Macaca fascicularis: one gene and its partner. The protein of the gene in region 1 interacts with the protein of each later gene in a biochemical or structural test. Links are inferred from orthologs where the notes say so. Each region holds a gene or a part of one and is shown in the gene's direction. Other genes may lie near its edges.

Region 1 (6,849 bases):
TGGGAAAGATGGAGAAGTCTTTATGGAGTAGCAGTGTGTATATAAATACAGCAAATGAAAGAACGACAATTAAGGGAACAGTGACTCTCAGATGACTTGATTTATCACTGTTCTGACTTCTCTGTCAATTTCTAAGGGAACAAAATTTAATGTTTGCCAACTCATATGTTAATACGACTTTTAAAACATGTCCTCCAGAAGTTATTCATAAATCTAGTGAACAATAAGTATAATCTCATGCACAGAAGTATATTGTATAACTCCAGTTTTGGAAATGGATTTGAATGTTAGCGATCATGAAACTTGTCAGACCTTTATGAATTATTTATTGAAGGTTAAAATTTTTTATCAAATTTCCTCCATGAGGAAGAAAAGCTAGGACATTATAATTGGAATGAATGTTCTCTGCTACGAAAACGAAGCTTATCTCTGACGGTAAAGTAGGGTAGTTGATTCCCTAAGGCAGTGGAGGAATTTGATTGAACAGTAAAAGAAGTAGCACTGTGTTAGTCCAGTTGGCTGCTACTGCAAGAAACTAGATCATGGTCCATGCTTGGAATGGTGCATTCTGTGCCTAAATATTGATTAAATATGTCTTGCTGCTCACCAAAAAATACTTCTACTACATTTTTAATGTATAATATCTGGCTTTCATTGTATGGGTCGTTTTTATTTTTGTTTTGTTTTTATTGCAAGTCCTTGTTGTTCTGTGTAAATAGTCTTTGGAACGGTTCTAACCCTGGTTGTTTAGTTATTTTAGATGTTTTATTTATATTAATGGGAGATTGTTATACATCACAAAAGTTAATTAGTCATTGAATAACATTTTCGCCAAGTAGAAACAGCAATCATTTTTCAGCATGAAGATACAGTGTTGCTTTCACTTTTGATCTGACAATTATTAGAAAGTGAACTGAAGAAAATATCAGTATGCAGTTTCCTTTAAAGATGGGAACTCGCTATCTTGCCTGTGCTGGATTCCAACTCCTGGGCTCCAGCAATCCTCCACCACAGCCTCTCAAGTAGCTGGGACTACAGGTGCACTACTGCACCCAGCCAGGGTACTTTTCTGATAAACTTAATTCAACCCAAGTTAACACTTTGAAATCTTATGTAATGGTACCATTTTTTTCCCCTAAGTTGGACAAACTAATCAGTGATACTTGTTTGTTGATGTTTGTATTTTTGATGAGGGTCTGAACTTTTTTTTAAAAAAAATGGCGATTTGTCATACCCAGGCAGTTTGATTCCAGAGCTCTTACTTTAACCATGAGGTTAAAAGTCATTGAAAGTTATGGAGTAGGTAGGTGACATGATCAGAATTGTTTATTAAGATGAATCTGGCCCCATTGTAGTGTGGGTTAAAAAGGTGAACAGTTTTGCTTTGAATAATTATTTTAAAAATTCTCTTTGCCTAGTAATAATTTGAATTTTCACATGACATAGCAGCAAAGATTATTGAGATTTAGTAATGCCAGTATTAACCATACCTTGTTGTGGGGATTATAAAATTAGTATAACTTTCTAGAAGGCAGTCTGACAATAAATATTAGAATTTTAAATAAGTATTCTCTTTGATCCAGCAATTCCACTTCTGGGAATTTATTTTAAGGAAAATGCTCAGCAATGTGTGCACAAGAATTTTTATTGCAGCAATTTTTTTTTTTGTTCACAATTTTTGTTATGTGCAAGGAATAGGCTATATATATTATATATATGTTCATTTTATTAAACTATGAAGCATAATAAAATGAACATCCATGAACTTACCACCTGTCCTCAGAACTAGAATATTACTAGTATAATTGAAGTTATCAGTTTGCAGTATTATTTTACATTAGCAAAGAAATGAGGAACAACCTAAATGTCCATCAGTCAGGGATTTATAAATAATAGTACATCTGGCCAGACGTGGTGGCTCACGCCTGTAACCAGCACTTTGGGAGGCCAAGGTGGGCGGATTACCTGAGGTCTCGAGTTCGAGACCAGCCTGGCCAACATGGTGAAACCCCATCTCTACTAAAAATACAAAAATTAGTTGAGTGTGGTGGCGCACGCCTGTAGTCCCAGCTACTTGTAAGGCTGAGGCAGGAGAATCACTTGAACCCGGGAGACGGAGGTTGCAGTGAGCCGAGATGGCACCACTGCACTCTAGCCTGCGACAGAGTGAGGCTCCGTCTCAAAAAAAAAAAAAAATAAAATAAAAATAGTACATATACATGATGAAGTTCAATATCAAGGTATTTATTTATTTATTTATTTATTTATTTTTTGAGACGGAGTCTCTCTCTGCCGCCCAGGCTGGAGTACGGTGGCCGGATCTCAGCTCACTGCTAGCTTCGCCTCCCGGGTTTACGCCATTCTCCTGCCTCAGCCTCCCGATTAGCTGGGACTACAGGCGCCCGCCACCTCGCCCGGCTAGTTTTTTGTATTTTTAGTAGAGACAGGGTTTCACCGTGTTAGCAAGGATGGTCTCGATCTCCTGACCTCGTGATCCGCCCGTCTCAGCCTCCCAAAGTGCTGGGATTACAGGCTTGAGCAACCGCTCCCGGCCAATATCAAGGTATTTAAAGGAATGAGGTTGAACTATCATATTTTCTCAGTTCTGAAATGCCACTAACTCTAAGATGAGCCGTCTATTTAGTAGCAATTTTTTAGCGGGCAGAAAGTAAACATAAAGATTTTATTAATAATCAGTAGCATACATTTATTCGTTCAATTGTATACCATTTTCATCACAATAAAGTTTGAGTCTCAGCCTTATTCACATTCAGAATCTAGGATTCTTCTGAATTACTTTGGGTAGTTAATGCAACATCATGATAACAGGCTGCTTTTCATAATGCTAGTTAATTATCTTAACCTATGTTGTCTTTATGATTGTGTGTATAATTTTAAGGTATAATGAAGAATACTGGGATGTTGCTTTCCTTTTTGCTTAGTTTTTTTTTTTTCTTCTAATTAAACAGCTTCCTCTGAAGATAACTGTAAAAGTTTTGACAGATTTTGAGTCTCTTACCTTTGAAAATTCTGTGATCTTGCTTGAATTTAATAATTATGGCTTTAATTGCATTGTCTATTGAATGACAGTTTGAGTGCACAATACTATATCACAATGGAACCTTTTCAAAACATTTTGTGGGCCAGGCATGGTGTAATCCCAGTATTTTGGGAAGCTGAGGCAGGAGGAACACTTGAATTCAGGAGTTTGACACCAGCCTGGGCAACCTAGCAAGCTCTCCATCTCTATTTACAAAAGTAATAATAGCCAGGCGAGTAGCTCGTGTTTGTAATCCCAGCACTTTGGGAGGCTGAGATGGATGGATCACATGAAGTCAGGAGCTCAAGACCAACCTGGCCAACATGGCGCACCCCTGTCTCTACTAAAAATACAAAAATTAGCTGTGTGTGGTGGTGGGTACTTGTAGTCCCAGCTACTCTGGAGGCTGAGGCATGAGAATCACTTGAACTTGGGAAGCAGAGGTTGCAGTGAGCCAGCATATGGCACTACACTCCAGCCTGGGCAACAGAGTGAGACTCATGCCTATAATCCCAACACTTTGGGAGGTTGAGGCAGGTGGATCACCTGAGGTCAGGAGTTCAAGACTACCCTGGCCAACATGATGAAACCCTGTCTCTACTAAAAATACAAAAAGTAGCCACACATGATGGCACATGCCTGTAATTCCAGCTACTTGAGAGGCTAAGGCAGGAGAATCGCTTGAACCCGGGAGGCAGAGGTTGCAGTGAACTGAGATTGCGCCATTGCACTCCAACCTGGACAACAAGAGAGAAACTGCTTCTCAAAAACAAACAAACAAACAAAAACAAAACAGAAAAAAAGAAAAAACATTTTGAGCATCATATATGGTGCCGCCAATGAAAATATTACAATTGGCCGGGTATGGTGGCTCATGCCTGTAATCGCAGCACTTTGGGAGGCCAAGGCAGGTGAATCACCTGAGGTCAGGTGTTTGAGACCAGCCTGGGCAACATGGTGAAACCCCATCTCTACTAAAAGTACTAAAAATTAGCCGGGTGTGGTGGTGGATGCCTGTAATCCCAGCTACTTGGGAAGCTGAGGCAGGAGAATTGCTTGAACCTGGGAGGCAGAGGTTGCAGTGAGCCGAGATGGTGCCATTGCACTCCATCCTGGGCAACAGAGCGAGACTCTGTCTCAAGAAAACAAAAAAAGAAAATAATACAATTGAGGTAACAAAGATTTCGGCTTTTATTTTATGGTTAAGTTAGGCATGTGCAATGACTGCTACTCTAGAACTTCTCTGCTTTGGAGGGGAGATTCGACCTTGATTTATTTGGAAGGAACTCTCAGCCATTGTTTTAATTATCATCCCTGGCCATCTGTGAAGTGTGTGTTGGGTGAGTATTCTCTCTTTGGAAGGTACAAATCTTTCTCAACTAGCTTATTGCTCATAGAAGTTGGGGGCCCAAGGGTTGATCTTAAGATGTACTCTATTTATTATTATTATTTTTTTCTGGGACAGAGTTTTGCTCTGACTCCAGCCCAGGCTGGAGTGTAGTGGCAAAAATCACGGCTCACTACAGCCTTGACCTCCTGGGCTCTATTGATCCTCTCACCTCAATTGATCCTCCCACCTCAGTCTCTCCAGTAGCTGGGACTGCAGGTGCACACCAACATACTTGGCTGATTTTTTCTATTTTTTGTAGAGATAGGGTCTCACTTTGTTGCCCAGGCTAGTCTCAAACACCTGGGCTCAAGAGATCCGCCCACTTCAGCCTCCAAAAGTTTTGGGATTACAGGCATGAGCCACTGCACCTGGCCCTAAATTTTAGAAATATTAAAATGTAGAAAAGCATGCTTAGAATCAAACAAACGTGACACTGGCTGGGCATGGTGGCTCACGCCTGTAATCCCAGCACTTTGGGACGCCGAGATGGGAGGATCACTTGAGGCCAGGAGTTTGAGACCAGCCTCGTCAACATAGCGAGACCCTCGTCTCTATTAAAAAAAAAGAGAGAGAGAATAAAAGATAAAATGTGGCTGGGCGCAGTGGCTCACACCTGTAGTCCCAGCACTTTGGGAGGCCAACAAGGGCGGTCTCCTGAAGTCAGGAGTCTGAGACCAGCCTGACCAGCATGGAGAAACTCTGTCTCTACTAAAAATAGAAAATTAACTGGGTATACTGGCACATGCCTGTAATCCCAGCTACTTGGGAGGCTGAGGCAGGAGATTTGCTTGAACCTGGGAGGCGAAGGTTGCGGTGAGCCATCACACCATTGCACTCCAGCCTGGGTGACAAGAGCGAAACTCCGTCTCAAAATAAATAAATAAATAAATGACACCTATTACTGTGGAAAGATGTTCATGGTATTATGTTATTCCTTTGCCAACAAATTGGGCCCTGATTAGTGATAGAGGCAAGATTCTTGGGTCCTATGGTCCACATGCCCAGTAATCTCTTAATCGGGTCCAGATATGATGAAGTAATGTGTCCTGTGTGCTGCGTGTGTGCGTACTCTGTCTGTCTGTCACTCACTGTATCTGTTTCTCTCTATCTCCCTTCCTTTTCTCTTCCCCTCACTCACTCACCGCAGTACACAAGGGCCACAGTAAAGCACTCTTCCTAGAAAAAGAGAATAATGGAAGATAAGCAGCAAATGCTGATCTATAATCTGAAATCTCCTAGTCAGATTCTGTGTAAGCAACCAGCCGTGGAGGTAGGGGAGATTGGACCTTGATTTATTTGGAAGGAACTCTCTCATCCATTGTTTTAATTATCCTTGGCCACCTGCGAAGTTTGTGTTGTACCTTCCCTTTGGAACATACAGATCTTTCTCAGCTAGCTTATTGCTCATAGAAGTTGGGGGCCCAAAAGTTTTAAATTTTGAACAGACGAAAAGAGTTTTTTAGTATGAACTTAAGGATAATTTAAGAAAAAAAAAATTTCTTTCTGTTTTTTGAGACGGAGTCTCACCCTGTCACCCAGGCTGGAGTGCAGTGGCATAATCTTCGCTCACTGCAACCTCCGCCTCCCAGTTTCAAGTGATTCTTCTGCCTCAGCCTCCTGAATAGCTGGAACTACAGGCACACACCACCATGCCCAGCTAATTTTTGTATTTTTTAGTAGAGACAAGGTTTCACCATATTGGCCAGGCTGGTCTCGAACTCCTGACCTCGTGATCCACCCGCCTCAGCCTCCCAGAGTGCTGGAATTAGAGATGTGAAGCACCGCGCCCGGCCAAAAAATATTTTTTTTTAACAAAACAGTTTCTTTAAGTTAGTAAACCTCTTCCAGTCTGTTTGGTTTCCATCAATTCTGTGTGTCAGTAACCACAACCAAAGTTTGCATGTATTGGTAAACTCATCCAAAGATTTAAGAGTGTCTATTCCTCCTCCTCTCATTTGGTTATTTGAGGCTATTAGGTTTGATGGGAGGGCTACATCTTTAATACGGTCTTAACCACAGAAGCACTAGTTAGCTAACGAGTTTCAGTAGGCATCTGTGCTCAGTCTTTTAATCCTGCCTCTAGGGGTCTAGGTGCAAACTGCTTTTCCAGTCCTTCAAGGCTTTAAATTTCTGAACTTTTTCTATTCTCTTCTGTTTTTGCTTTCAAATCTGCTACTTCCTTCTTGAACTCATCATTTACTTATAATACTTGCCAAATATCTAATAGCAGCTAATACTCAGTTCCAAAATCCTCTTTACCAAACTCTTTTATAAGACTACAAGATCAGTAGCCTCTTTGTATGCTCACTGACCTTGTAGTTGTATGAAAAGTTATTATAGGCAACAGCTTTACCAGATATTTTGCCACTATGAAACATGATCCTCCGTCTTTCCGGCCTCTGGTATCTGTTTCCTCTCA
Region 2 (6,849 bases), on another chromosome or scaffold:
GCCTCAGGGAGAACAGGTTTTAAAATGCCTTAAATGGGGCCGGGCGCGGTGGCTCACGCCTGTAATCCCGGCACTTTGGGAGGCCGAGGCGTGCGGATGATGAGGTCAGGAGATCGAGACCATCCTGGCTAACACAGTGAAACCCCATCTCAACTAAAAATACAAAAAATTAGCCGGGCGTGGTGGCGGGCGCCTGTAGTCCCAGCTACTGGGGAGGCTGAGGCAGGAGAATGGCGTGAACCCGGGAAGCGGAGCTTGCAGTGAGCTGAGATCCAGCCACTGCACTCCAGACTGGGCGACAGAGTGAGACTCTGCCTCAGAATTAAAATAAAATAAAATGCCTTAAATCAATGGCATTTCTGTTGAAACAGTTACATGATTTCAAATTTCATGATTAGCTGGACTTAACAAAAAATGTGTCTAAATAATAGGCAATAGACCAGATGCGGTAGCTCACTTTCGGAGGCTGAGGTGGGTGGATCACCTGAGGTCAGGAGTTTTTGAGACCAGTCTGGCTAACATGGTGAAACCCCATCTCTACTAATAATACAAAAATCAGCCGGGTGTGGTGGCACGTGCCTGTAATCCCAGCTACTTGGGAGGCTGAGACAGGAGATTCACTTGAACCCGGGAGGCAGAGGTGAGCAGAGATCACACCACTGCACTCCAGCCTGGGTGACAGAGTGAGACTCCATCTCCAATACTACTACTAATAGTAATAACCCGGCCGGGCGCGGTGGCTCAAGCCTGTAATCCCAGCACTTTGGGAGGCCGAGACGGGCGGATCACAAGGTCAGGAGATCGAGACCATCCTGGCTAACACGGTGAAACCCCGTCTCTACTAAAAAATACAAAAACCTAGCTGGGCGAGGTGGCGGGCGCCTGTAGTCCCAGCTACTCGGGAGGCTGAGGCAGGAGAATGGCGTGAACCCGGGAGGCGGAGCTTGCAGTGAGCTGAGATCCGGCCACTGCACTCCAGTCTGGGCGACAAAGCGAGACTCTGTCTCAACAACAACAAAAATAATAATAATAATAATAACCCGCAGCATCCACACTGTCCACCTGCTACCCCCAAAGCAGGCCCTCTCATTGTTGAACAAAAAATAATTTGCAAGAAAACCTGCTACAGAAGAGCCTTGTGCAGTTTTGAAAATATAGGCCGGGCGCGATGGCTCACGCCTGTAATCCCAGCACTTTGGGAGGCCAAGGCGGGTGGATCATGAGGTCAGGAGTTCAAGACCAGCCTGTCTAATATGGTGAAACCCCATCTCTACTAAAAATACAAAAAAAAATTAGCCGGATGTGGGTGGTGCACACGCCTGTAGTCCCAGCTACTCGGGAGGCTGAGGCAGGAAAATCACTTGAACCCGGGAGGCGGAGGTTGCTGTGAGCCAAGATCATGCCACTGCACTCCAGCCTAGGGAACAGAGCAAGACTCTGTCTCAAAAAATAAATAAATAAATAAATAAAATAAATATAGCGTTCAGATAGCATAGTGACAAAGTCCTATCTAACGGCGTGGAGAAGGCGTGCCAGCAACTTCATTGCAGGAATAGGCACAAGTTCCCTCAAGTGTAAGGGCCCCTTAGGGCTTGCGCTTTTGTTGTTGTAGGCGGTGGTGGCGGTGGTGGTTGTGGTAGACTTTGTGATCGGAAATACCGTGAAAGTCAAGTACCACCTGGGCATCGGGGCTTGCCAAGGAGCGGGCCAGGTCCCTTTTCTGTGCACGGGCACCTGGTGCCCTCTTGTGGCCAAAGTCTATCGCTACGACCCGCTCTGTATGGACTTCAGGCAAAGGTCGGTTTTAGGCTAGGAGTGCTGGGGATGCTTGTTTTGAGTTCGGGTTTTGTTTGTTTGGTGGGGTGTGGGTAGGGGAAGGTGTTGTCTAGCTAAGCACACCCCACAGGCAGCGGTCAGTCTCACAGCCTCTCTCATCACAGCTACTGGCTGTTTTCCCGAGCCCAGCCCCGCGGGCCCTTGGGTGGGGATGGGTATAGTTACAGAAACAAGCGCAAGCCTCCGTGGTGAGCAAGGAGAGCTCCCTCCCTGTCCATGGAGGGACAGTGCTGCCGCGGTGTCCGGTATGGTCCTTAAGACCACCTGGCTCTCCCCATAGCAACAGCGGCGGGAGCGGGAGCAGCGGAAGCTGCAGGAGAAGGAGCAGCAGCGGCGGCTGGAGGACATGCAGGTTCTGCGGCGGGAGGAGGAGCGGCGGCAGGCGGAGCGCGAGCAGGTAGAGCGCCGCACCCACATCCCTGCCCTCCCGCCCTCCTGCTCCTGCTGCCTGCCGCCCCTGCTCCCCGTGCCCTTCCCCCTTCTCTCCCCCCCACCCAGATTCCTCCTATCTTTTCTAGCTTCACTCTTTCTCTCTGTTTTCTCCCACCCTTCAACCCCAACCCTGGCCCCCTCCCTCCTCCTTCCCTGCCTCATTCCCATCTCTGTACCCCATCCCTGATTCTCCCTGGCCCCTTCCTCATCCCCCTCATTCCCTGTGCCCTCTTCTTCCCCATCTGTGCCGCGTGGCCCCCCGGGGCTCATGCCATCCCCTCCCCTACCTCTCTCTTACTTTTCCCCTGCACCCCCTCATCCTCCTCCTGCGGATCCCTTCCTCCTTCTCCAACTCGCTGCTGCTGCCCTCCTCTGCCTCTTCCTCCTTCCCTGCCCTCTGCCCCCCACCCTACACCCCGCCCCCCAGGAATATATTCGTCACAGGCTAGAGGAGGAGCAGCGACAGCTCGAGATCCTTCAGCAACAGCTGCTCCAGGAACAGGCCCTGCTGCTGGTAACGGGTCCCTCAGCGTCCTCTGGGAAGATGCTTTTCAGAGCTTCTTTGCTGGAACGGGATGGGAACACTTCAAGGGAAGGGATTCACCCAAGACATCAAGGGAATACATCTCCTCTCTAGGCAGTTGGAGAAAAGAGAGGGCATGCCTGCTCTGACTCCCAGGCCACACTCTGCTGAGCCCTCTCTCCCTACCCTTGGGCCCAGGAATACAAGCGGAAGCAGCTGGAGGAGCAGCGGCAGTCAGAGCGTCTCCAGAGGCAGCTGCAGCAGGAGCATGCCTACCTCAAGTCCCTGCAGCAGCAGCAACAGCAGCAGCAGCTTCAGAAACAGCAGCAGCAGCAGCTCCTGCCCGGGGACAGGAAGCCCCTGTACCATTATGGTCGGGGCATGAATCCCGCTGACAAACCAGCCTGGGCCCGAGAGGTACTCACTGCCTCCTTTGCCTCCTGAGACTGCAGTCCCACTGCCTGAGGCCTGGAGAGCCACAAGCAGTGGTTGTTCACAGGAACAGGCACCGAGCAGGGGAAAGGAGCACACAGCACACAGCATAGGACAGGAGTGGTGAGGGCGGGCGGGACCCTCAGTTTTGAGAACAGGGAGGCAAGAGCTGGCCTGCTTGACATCCCTTCACATCACAGGTAGAAGAGAGAACAAGGATGAACAAGCAGCAGAACTCTCCCTTGGCCAAGAGCAAGCCAAGCAGCACGGGGCCTGAGCCCTCCATCCCCCAGGCCTCCCCCGGGCCTGCAGGACCCCTTTCCCAGACTCCTCCTATGCAGAGGCCGGTGGAGCCCCAGGAGGGACCGCACAAGGTGAGTCTCCCCCCACTCCTGTCTTAATGCAGACACGGGGAGCTTTGCTCAGAGCCCAGGTGCACACACACACACGCACACACACACCTGCTCAGCCTGAGCCAGGATTCCAGAGCACAGGCTATGTGGACAGACACACTCACCTGCTTCTTGCTGCCTATGTCTGTCCTGACTTAGCTGTCCTCAGGCTCAAGGAACCCCTTGTCCTTCAATGGAGGAAGCGGCAACTGAAGTCCCTTCCCACCTCAGACCCCGATTTGCAGGTGGGGAGCTGCCATGGAGCAGGCAGTCCACCCTCCCTGGTCTCTCCCTGCAGAGCCTGGTGGCGCACCGGGTCCCACTGAAGCCATATGCAGCACCTGTGCCCCGATCCCAGTCCCTGCAGGACCAGCCCACCCGAAACCTGGCTGCCTTCCCAGCCTCCCATGACCCCGACCCTGCCATCCCTGCACCCACTGCCACGCCCAGTGCCCGAGGAGCTGTCATCCGCCAGAATTCAGACCCCACCTCTGAAGGACCTGGCCCCAGCCCGAACCCCCCAGCCTGGGTCCGCCCAGATAACGAGGCCCCACCCAAGGTAAGGACAGCCTGTGGGCCCAGGGAAAAGCAAGGAACTAGTCATGAGGAGAAGGAGGGCAGTGAAGGGGCCGCGTGGGGAAGAGTGCAGGCGGGAAGCCAGAGAAAGCTAGGGCGCTGCCCAGCGGGGCTCAGCCGTCCAGCTGAGGAGGCAACGTGGAGGTGTGGCATTGATGCCCCTGGGGAGCGTGGGAACGGAGAAACGCCCAGGGTGTTTCGGGGCCGCTAAGGGGCAGACTTTGTGAGTTAGAACCGCAGCTCCAACCATCTCCCAGCTTCATAACCTTGGACGTATTCACTAACTTCCCTGAACCTCAGTTTTCTCATCCATCAAAGTGAGGAGCTCACCTCTCAGAGGTGAGGCTCAAACATCTCTGAAGTGCCCGTCGCAGCGCCAGCTCGCAGCACGTGGACTTCTCTCCACAGGTGCCTCAGAGGACCTCATCTATCGCCACTGCCCTTAACACCAGTGGGGCCGGAGGATCCCGGCCAGCCCAGGCAGTCCGTGCCAGGTAATGCCTGGGTAGGGCAATGCCTGGGTGAGGTCTGAGGACAGCCTAGGGAGTAGGGGGGCACAGGGACTTTACCAGCCTACCCACCTAGGGGTGGGCAAGCCCCAGCCCCATCACCTCAGCGCCCCCCCGCCCCCTCGGCACCCCTGTGCTCCCTTCACAGACCTCGCAGCAACTCCGCCTGGCAAATCTATCTGCAAAGGCGGGCAGAGCGGGGCACCCCAAAGCCTCCAGGGCCCCCTGCTCAGCCCCCTGGCCCGCCCAACGCCTCTAGGTAATGGAGTCGTCCCCCGACTCACTCCCACCTCTCACTTCTGCCACCTGCTTCCCTGGTGATGGCTCCCTCTGCAGTGCAGCTCAGCACCCCAGAGAGGGGAGCACCCTGCCTCCCTGACCCTGACTCTGCCCCCCAACAGTAACCCCGACCTCAGGAGGAGCGACCCTGGCTGGGAACGCTCGGACAGTGTCCTCCCGGCCTCGCACGGGCACCTCCCCCAGGCCGGCTCACTGGAGCGGAACCGCGTGGGAGGTATGTGAGCCAGGGCTGGGCAGCCTGCTCTGGGCCTGGAGTCTTATCAGGATGGACCCTGCCTTTGGTGGCTTTGGACTGGGACACCCACAGGGACAGGGAGGACCTGCGTGGGTATGGAACTCGGGGCTGAGTTCTGGGGCTCAGGGGCAAGGGGTCAGCCCAGGTGTGGGCTTGAGGCCATCCCTTGTCCAGGCATCAGTGACCTTTCTTCTTCCACCCTGCCATGTCCAGCCTCCTCCAAACTGGACAGCTCCCCAGTGCTCTCTCCTGGGAATAAAGCCAAGCCCGATGACCACCGCTCGCGGCCAGGCCGGCCCGCAGTGAGTCGCCTGGTGGCCGGCACCGCCTGCCTCATCCTGGTTTGGGGCTTAGCCCCAGGGAGCTGGGTGCCAGGGGGGGTCTCCGCGGATCTACTGGGAAGGGCTGTGGGGATGGAGGGACTGGTGCTTCTCATGCTACTAACCTTTTCTAACCTCTTTCCTAACATCTCTCCTGGCTCGCTCTTCCCCTGCGGCCCCTCCCAGAGCTATAAGCGAGCAATTGGTGAGGTTAGTGAGATGGGCCTGTTGTGGGGGCCCCTCCTGTCACCTTGCTGGGGTGTCCCAGCACCCTTTGTCTGCCTCCACCCAGGCCCACCTTCTCCCTGCCCCTCACGTGGCTCCTCCCCGCAGGACTTCGTGTTGCTGAAAGAGCGGACCCTGGACGAGGCCCCTCGGCCTCCCAAGAAGGCCATGGACTACTCATCGTCCAGCGAGGAGGTGGAGAGCAGTGAGGATGACGAGGAGGAAGGCGAAGGCGGGCCATCAGAGGGGAGCAGAGACACCCCTGGGGGCCGGTACGGCATCGGGAGTGGGGCCCTCCCACTCCAAGGCACAAGGAGGGAGGGGAAGTGGCAGTGGAGGGAGAGGTAGGGCTTTGGGGCAAGTCTGAGGGAGGACAGCGCCCTTCTCTAGAGAGTGGGGTGAGGGTGCAGGTTCCTGTCTCTCTCCTGCTGCCCTGTGTGTTGTGGGGTGGCCTCTCCAAGTGCCTGTCTGCTGTGCCAGCCTGCCCTGTGTGCCATGCAGGGAAGCACCTCACGGTGGAACAGGGACTACCCCGTGAGGGTGGAGCAGGTTGTGTTTTGAATAGAGACAAAAGCCTGGGCTCTGGCTGCCATCTGCTGCCTTTGGCACTTCTGTGGCCACGGGCAGGACCTGGAGAGGCCCCACCTTCCTCTCTCACAGCAGCGATGGGGATACAGACAGCGTCAGCACCATGGTGGTCCACGACGTCGAGGAGATCACCGGGACCCAGCCCCCATACGGGGGCGGCACCATGGTGGTCCAGCGTGTGAGTGAGCCTCCGCTGCCTCCCCTGTAGCTGTGTGTGCCCTCCTCAGCCCCGTGCCGACCCTGCCCTCTGTCCTGTAGACCCCTGAAGAGGAGCGGAACCTGCTGCATGCTGACAGCAACGGGTATACAAACCTGCCTGACGTGGTGCAGCCCAGCCACTCACCCACCGAGAACAGCAAAGGCCAAAGCCCGCCCTCGAAGGATGGGAGCAGTGACGTAAGTGGGCCGGAGGCAGGTCCGCTGGGGGAGAAGAGCCCGGGCGGTGGGCAGGAGGTCTGGGTGCTGGGTCATGGCAGAGGAT

The links.
Region 2: of the proteins of LATS1 (region 1) and MINK1, one has a biochemical effect on the other in vitro, tested with the Homo sapiens proteins (2 studies listed by BioGRID). The link is inferred for Macaca fascicularis from reciprocal best matches to the Homo sapiens genes LATS1 and MINK1.

What each region holds. Positions count from the first base shown.
Region 1 is NC_088378.1:57,698,261-57,705,109, reverse strand, and holds part of LATS1 (serine/threonine-protein kinase LATS1), read left to right. Parts: intron 1-4,251; 5' UTR 4,252-4,253; coding exon 4,254-4,380; intron 4,381-6,849. UniProt on the Homo sapiens protein: Negative regulator of YAP1 in the Hippo signaling pathway that plays a pivotal role in organ size control and tumor suppression by restricting proliferation and promoting apoptosis.
Region 2 is NC_088390.1:4,994,657-5,001,505, forward strand, and holds part of MINK1 (misshapen-like kinase 1), read left to right. Parts: intron 1-2,116; coding exon 2,117-2,233; intron 2,234-2,695; coding exon 2,696-2,782; intron 2,783-2,989; coding exon 2,990-3,208; intron 3,209-3,423; coding exon 3,424-3,597; intron 3,598-3,913; coding exon 3,914-4,174; intron 4,175-4,599; coding exon 4,600-4,685; intron 4,686-4,848; coding exon 4,849-4,959; intron 4,960-5,101; coding exon 5,102-5,214; intron 5,215-5,448; coding exon 5,449-5,537; intron 5,538-5,741; coding exon 5,742-5,765; intron 5,766-5,888; coding exon 5,889-6,052; intron 6,053-6,440; coding exon 6,441-6,546; intron 6,547-6,626; coding exon 6,627-6,764; intron 6,765-6,849. UniProt on the Homo sapiens protein: Serine/threonine kinase which acts as a negative regulator of Ras-related Rap2-mediated signal transduction to control neuronal structure and AMPA receptor trafficking.